Neodiprion lecontei: one gene and its partner. The protein of the gene in region 1 purifies or fractionates together with the protein of each later gene. This does not show direct contact. Links are inferred from orthologs where the notes say so. Each region holds a gene or a part of one and is shown on either strand. Other genes may lie near its edges. The genes, in order: serine/threonine-protein kinase Warts and scaffold protein salvador.

Region 1 (3,934 bases):
TGGTGATTTTGTATATTTTATTTCAATTCATTTTCAAGTTTTGTACAAAACTTAGTGATTGTATAACTCGGAAGTTCAGATTTGGTTATTTATATGTATAGTGAACGCTTATTTTGAATATCAATTGTGTATAGATTGTAAATAGTAAATATAAATAGAAAATAAATGTCAATTTTAACTAACAGTACAATTTGCAGAAAATTCCTGCTCTTGAATTTTGAGTGAACTTCCAGTTAATTAAATTAAATGTATGTACAAATTCATTCGCTGATTTTCCTATCAATACTTTTTTACAATCTTACCACGAATATCTGGGTTCTTGTTTTCCTTATACAGCGTAGTCGAAGGTCCATCTTTTGAGGGTATGACATCATCCGATGGAATTCCGCTGACGTGTGGTTGGTCTGGAATTAAATTTTTCAATATAAGTAAAATTTTAATGTAAATGCAAAAACAATTGCTTGCATTTGTTTGCAAGAGCCAATGATACTGATTTGTTTTACCTGCTATCGCAACACAGCTTGTTTGAGCCGAAATTTGCAGATCCTTAGACTCTGTATGCAGCTGTTCTTGGCGATGATTACCGTCAACAGGTCCATTCAATGTTGGAACTGCATCACACGTTAGTAAACATCGTGGATATTTTTTCCAGATATATTTTGGCTCAAAGTGTTTGTTACATACACGAAAATCTCGCCGGTTCGGATTCTTGGCTCGGATGAACTCATGCCATTTTTTGCGCCTGTATTATGAAAAATCATGATGTACATTTGTTTTCATAATATATGAAGATACGTGGGGACCCACAACATTCCCGTGAAAGCGAGGTTATATATTCATACTTACATACAGTTGCTCTTTTTTTGGTAACGCGAAAAACGTCACTCGTCCTCCATTATTTATGCTTTGATTTTTGATATATTTGTAATTGTAACATAATTTGACGTCACAATAAATTGGCATCTTTGGAAAAATGTTTGTTTGTTATCCAACGTTTACCCAAAGATTATAGCAACGCGTCATCACACCGACAATACTAACGCAATCACATCTTCACTAACGCTACACGTACGCGTTATATTTTTCCTCTGAGCCGCTAGAGGCGCTGCAATAGGGCGATACGGGTAAGATAATATATATTATCTTAGATGCGGGTACCTTCCACCAACTAAAATAATGTATATATTATCTTAGCCTGCTCGAGGCCCAGATCAAGGGGTCCACATGGGCTTCACTCTGTCCGGAGAGCAATGCAGTATGCATAGGCATTGCATGTACATACATACATACGTAGTCTCACATTGGTAAATGATTGGTAAACACAGACGGTAATCTTTTGAAATCAAGCAAGAGTCCGGCGGTAACAGCAGTGCCCACACTTATCGACTCACTCATGAGGATTACAATGATGATTAAATCGGTAATGGTAGGAAGTTTTTTTTTTTTACCAATGCTTCCTGCACCTTCACATACTTTCCTACTTTAACAATATATAGTGATCGAAGGTGTAAAACGTGTAGAAAGTGTTGCTAGCACGAACAAACCCAGTTGTGTGTGGTTCACCGAGTAACCATGGTAAGAGCGACGATAATGCAGAAACCTGAAGTTACCCCCGAGCAGACCCGAACTTGGTGCACCAAAAAGCTGTCACGCGATGTAATCCGAGGTTGGTAATCTCTGACATGAGCGTATTGTAAAGTCAACGCCTGTGGAGTTCGGCTCCTCCAGGCCCCTCACGGTCTCTATCTTTCATGAATTGGATACCTATTTTCGTAAATTTGATGCATCTGCCAATGCATACTATTTAATTTCATCCAGAGCATGCGTAAATCTATGATTTACAACCGATACCCAGTTAAACCGTTGAATTCAAATGGAATAGCTTACCAGCCTTAAATGATTCGAAAGTAGCGCCGATATTGATGCCAGTTCAATGAATCTTTCATATTTGTTGGATATAGAGTTAAGCCCTTCGAAGAATCGTTCTTATAAATAGTTAAAAATAACTGCAACTTCGACTGCAATGAATATTTGTAATACGGAATGCTGATATACAATTTGTGTATGTATATACGTACTAGAAATTGTGAAAAAGATTGTCAAGTCAGTGAAGGAATGTGGCACTTCAAAATGGCTGCCAGCCACTTTAGTAATTTACGGCTGTATCTTTCTTTGTTATCGCTTTTATGATTTCGACGAAGTTTTCTCAGTTTCAATTATTTTCTTCGTTGTAAAGTGTTTGCTCTAACGTTCTATAATTATTTCTGGTCCGGTCTATAAACCCTATTATAATGTGACTACGGAATATGCTCTCGATCCTCAGCTGGCATCACTCTCGGTTTAAAGGAATTTATATCAAGATATTCTTGAGTAAGAGGTTTTATATATTTTACAAAAGAATCTACGCACGGCTACTAACAAGCGGCATAAACAATTAGTCGTTATCGGCGATCAATTCGCAAATTACCGAGTCTCTAATTCGGTAGTGTGGTGTATGTATGTCTTTATATACAATTTATTGAAATTGTTTCATTTCAGTAATAAAATATTAGCACTTCGTACTCGTCAGTGAAATAATATCCCCTCAACGTTTTGAAACTGTATTCAACTAGAAAATTAAATAATATATATAGCTACAATGGTGTGCACAACTTGCGCTCTGTAACTTGCCACTCCTATTGGAGATTGATTTTCTTTGGTGCAGCCAGTTTTGCAAATAATTACAACCCTCCAAATGAATCTTATCGTAAGCCTTTAAAATTTTCAAGAGTGCACAGCATTGACAGTTGGTTCAGTGAAGTGAATTCAAGTACCAAATTCCACGTACAGTGATCGGCAACAAACTGGTTCACAAGAATTTCTTACCATTGTGCCTCTTAACAGTGCTAAAAAATAAACCATTGGTGTTGAATACTGCCATGTCAGCGAAGGATTTCATTAAGGAATTACAATACTAGCTAGCCTTATTTGTTTGGTAAGCATTAGTAACTCTACATCATTGTTTATAAAATCTACCATTCTTATTCTTATTAGCGTCATCATCATCGTCAGTATCATCATTGTCATTACTTCCGTTAGGAGTTGTAGTACTCTTCGTCTGGAGACCAAAGCATCGCAGGAGAGAATATATATTTTCATTATGGATTTTGTGTACACGAAAATTCATGATTAAGTTTTACACATTTTACCTCGGCAACAAGTATAACACTCATCATTTAATATTTAATTCATGATGTGTCCTTAGTGTAAATCTAATCGAAGTTTAACAAGTTCTATTTATATTTAGCTTTTGATATTGATATGACAAAATAACAGCATGCAAGTCATGCTGAAGTCACACAGGAGTCATATACCATTCCTACTAAAACATCCTAAACTTTGACAAAGTCAAGTGAAACTCGTATTCTAACCTTCTGAGGGCGATAGGAACTAGAAGCATGATTCAAACCTCATGTGTGTGCTCGAGTTTCAGATAGCAACGGAATATAACAATTCATATAAAATCGAGCGGTTGTATAACAGAGGCAAAGCATATCCTTATCTTACCATACTCTAGTGTAACCTCAGCGTGACTCGTGTTCAGTCACTTTCTATGCGAATATCCATAGCGTTATGTCTATAACCATTTGAAAGTCCTATTAGCCTCTTTACTTTGATCTCATATAGTAATTACTTTATTTAAATTTTTTCTATACCATTTGTGCACATACATGCATGCTGGTGTTGTTTTGTCAGGTTGTTGAACAGGTTTAAACTGACAAATTATATCATCAATTCTTAGCACCTGAGAGCAAGCATCTTGTTAGATGCTATAATGATTTATTTACCATGTCCATCGCTTTTATGATTAAAAATTTTACTAGAATGAAATTAAAAATGTAAGTTGCATATGAAATTATGCCACAGCTGTGTATGAAACTCGAGGATATCGTGA
Region 2 (3,934 bases), on another chromosome or scaffold:
AAACGTAACACAAACCTGTACTCTTCGTATCGCATTACAACTTCTTCTAGTTCTTGTTTGTACAGTCTGGTGAGCATCGCATTAAAACAATCCAATTCAGGAAGACGAAAGAGCTCCCAGCGTAATTTCCGGTCCAAAGCAACAGATGCTCTGCTGTATACATAAAGCCAATGTGGGATTTCTTCATTCAGATAAGGATTTGCTGGAACTAGAACGCTATGGGAATGAAAATGCGTGTGGCGTGGTGGTGAAACAACACGAACGGCTTGCATTTCCAAAGGATAACATGGATGTTCGTATTGTGCTTGTCTTGTGATGTGACTGAAAAAGACAAGGAAATATATTCATCGATGTTTTCCCATGCGACACCTTACATTGTTGCTTTCGCAAGTTAATATCATAAAAAATGCACAACAACTTACTTCACATAATATACTCCGTACTCTGGAGATTCTATTCTCTCCCAACCTGTCGGTAGACCCTCTTTTTCAAGTGGATGAGACCAGTGCGTAGTTTTAGTATTGTGATCAATATAGTATTTTCTACCACGCAGAGTGAAGTCGACCGACCAGCCTGGTGGCAGTGGTAACTCTTCTGGTGGTTCCCCTCTTGAACTCGGTCTCTCCGAGTGCCTCCTATTGTACCTGAATAAGTATGAGAACTACATAAGCAATGAAATTGCATAGTGATACAGGAGTACAAAATAATTTACACAACATGTTATTGATTATTGACTAAGGTACCAAATTATTCTACCCAGAGTTTTGGCAATACGGAGTCTGATTATAATCTTCATAACCTAAATCAATTTCAGAAGGCAGGTAAGGTAATTGAGGTGTTTGAATCCTATCCAAATGATATTCAGAACCAGCATATTGGTTCACATAGGTGTGCGAAATTGCAGGGGACAATTCAGGATGATACATCGGAGTCGGAGTACGTGAGGTTGTCCCGTCGCTGGAAGTAACAGAAAGGCTGGCAAATCTGTTGAAAAATGATTAGTTAGTGTACAAATAGGAATAACAAAAATCGAACAGAGACTGTTCAAAGTAAGCATCGACATGTGAAAAATGTTGCTCTTCGTTGAGACTTGTGTAGACCAAACAATGTCGATAATATCTATTCAATTATGAGATGAAATTTTATAATCAACCGTTGTGTAGGAAGCCTCTTACTAACATGTAGTTGGCTGTAAGAAAAGTACCAAATGTTGGCACATTCTAACTATGCAACAAGTGATCTTATTGCAGGTAGAAAGAAAAGTAATGGAAAAATAAATATTTTCATAGAATTATGCAGGATCAACAAAAATCAAATACATTTCTAGTATTGGAATATGCATACCTTTGAGCTAAATCTGGAACCGAGCTATTGGGTGTATATTTGCCCTCGTGACTTCCTAATCCAACTGCGCTCATAGTTGTTTTTGTGTTTCCAAATTTTTGGACCATACTTGGCTGTTGAACTACAGGCTATAAAAAGGACAGACATGATAGGTTTGTTTATACACTTTGAACCGGTCAGACATGTTTACCAACGCCATCGTGAGAAAACTGAAAAGCAGCTCGTGAGATACTACGAATGAGTTATTCTTTTATATTATCTCGCTCATAGTATTTTTATACAAATGAATACCCAACTCTTGCTTTTTCATTTTCATGTGCATACTCACAGCTTTGATTGAGCAACAATCAGAAACTCTTACCGCAGACGATGGTATAGATGATTGATTAAATCTTCTTATTCTTCTGACTGGTTCGGTTGTCCATACGTTGATAACTAAGTAGTCAATTTAACATTATATAAACTTATAGGAGTACGTTATTCAAAGAGTAGTTTATAGACTTCTAAGAATGCTTGCTGGTCGTTTTCGCGCAGCAAATAGTGATAAAGCAATTGAATACTCACTAGGCATTTCAGGGGGTGTTTCTTTTTTAACATATTTCCCAACGACGCCTTCTTTAATTGTACGCAAATCTTTGTTTTTGCGTGACAGCATATTTATCGTACACTTATGAACGTTGCAAATTGAATTAACTTACATGAAGCAGATTTACATTGAAAGGACTTATATCGAATGTGTCGTTTACATATTATTTCGACCGTGTGGGTATGTGTTAATACTGGACTGGGCTTTCATAATATACAAATGTCTGTAACGAGGTGAAATTTTTCAACATTTTGATAGTCACTACTTTAGGACGACATGAATAACTAAAAATTATCGAGGGAATGAACCCCGTTTCCACTTCAATATGTCAAATCGTGAACTGACAACTACTTCGGATAACCACACAGTAACGCGCAGTCCGTCTGTTACACCCTTTACCCTTAAGGTGGGATTTCATGTGCAGGAAAAAGCATCAGCAGTTTAGTAACTTACTAGAAAAATACTAACATCTGTTTGGTGATTTGCCGCAGCAGCAGCGCTGCTCATAAAAAAATGTCTTGCGTTTGTTGCTCTGTTGTTCGGAAGAATGAACTTCAAGTGGCGTAACTTGCGCCGGATGTGCTAGTAACTTTCAGTGAATTACTTTGATGCTGCCCATAAAATCCCAGCCTGTAGGGCATTCTTATAATTAGAGCAGATGTTGCACCACGGAGCAATATAAATGAAGCATTGACTGAAGATATACAAACTGCGTCAACGCCGCGGCTATTGAAATAACTTACAATCTGGCTGGGAGATTGCGTTCTCATTGATTACAAATCAACCTTTGTAAACATTCATTTGAACTATTTTCAAATGATTAATCCCCATATTTTCGTAGTAGTGATTACAAAACATGGCATCAAGTTCGACAATCACTATCCTCGTTTCGTGTCATTCCCAGCGAATATTAAGACTGGCCAGGTAACAATTAGTACAATATTAATATACATGTACGAGAAAGATTGGAATATCCTTTACTAATGTTTTCTATACTGCTGTTCTGGCACTTTGGAATATTCGAAACAGCTCGAAGCTGACGAAAAAAAAATTCCTTGCTTTTTCACACCCCCGAATCTGGACGTAATTACATACTAATTTCAGCCATATTTGGCAAATCGGTCTTCTGTTTGTAGGCTACCTACAAAGATACGAAATATCAGATTATAAAGATTATTGAGTTCCATAAGTGATATGAATTTTAAGAGGAGGAATAAAGTCGAAAATAAACTAAGCTTTTTCGTGATTGGAAGAATCAATTGATTCTTTATCAACTTTTTGCAGTGATACAGAGGTGTATACAAAATACACAAAGCTACTCATTTCATCACAAATAGTTTAATATTCATTCTCTTCTTTATGCGGAGGTTTATTTCAGAGAAAGCGTACTTTCCTTTAACATCAGTTTTTTCACACAGATCGACACTAAGTGATGTAATTGGTCGGATATAACGAAATAGGTTAATGAAATCAGTTAATGTCTTGTTGTGTCAGAAAAGCGACATAAACGGAAAGTGACCAGTGTCTATCTCTTTCTCCAGAACTCCCACTATCGCAGTGATCGTTCCAGTATTATTTCAGTGTAGCGCACAATATGCTCTAAAAAGAATGCAATTTCGAAAATTTTCAGGTAAGTTGAAAAATTAACGACGGAGCCAGGAATCGAACCTGGTATCTAGAGATGCTTTGCCGGAGACTTACTCCACTAGACCACCTAGCCGTCCTGACTACAATGTCATTAATTTCTCTCATCACCTGTATTCGAAATTGTTTTTGTTTCCGTGTGCCGTGATATATGCTCTAAGGGCTGCCGTCCCATGGTCCAGAATTTATACCGTCTCCACGAACCCGGAATCCAGTGACTTATCAAGCCCTAATCAGAGGCGTTCTGGCTCCACTGATTTACGGGATGCATTCTTCCTACGGTCCCATGATACGGAATTGACACGCATGGAACGATCGCCTGCGAATTGCGATCGTTCCTTTTAGGTCCTGAATTGGAAA

Evidence for each region.
Region 2: the proteins of serine/threonine-protein kinase Warts (region 1) and scaffold protein salvador purify together in Homo sapiens (affinity purification with western blotting; 3 studies listed by BioGRID). This does not show direct contact. The link is inferred for Neodiprion lecontei from reciprocal best matches to the Homo sapiens genes LATS1 and SAV1.

The regions. Positions count from the first base shown.
Region 1 is NC_060260.1:180,945-184,878, forward strand, and holds the start of serine/threonine-protein kinase Warts, read left to right. Parts: upstream 1-1,700; 5' UTR 1,701-2,370; intron 2,371-2,538; 5' UTR 2,539-2,974; intron 2,975-3,934. Other genes in the region: uncharacterized protein LOC107221828, read right to left, coding at 303-404, 504-742, 847-848. UniProt on the Homo sapiens protein: Negative regulator of YAP1 in the Hippo signaling pathway that plays a pivotal role in organ size control and tumor suppression by restricting proliferation and promoting apoptosis.
Region 2 is NC_060263.1:10,383,476-10,387,409, forward strand, and holds the start of scaffold protein salvador, read right to left. Parts: upstream 2,329-3,934; 5' UTR 2,000-2,328; coding exon 1,909-1,999; intron 1,780-1,908; coding exon 1,706-1,779; intron 1,473-1,705; coding exon 1,345-1,472; intron 985-1,344; coding exon 757-984; intron 645-756; coding exon 423-644; intron 322-422; coding exon 16-321; intron 1-15. UniProt on the Homo sapiens protein: Regulator of STK3/MST2 and STK4/MST1 in the Hippo signaling pathway which plays a pivotal role in organ size control and tumor suppression by restricting proliferation and promoting apoptosis.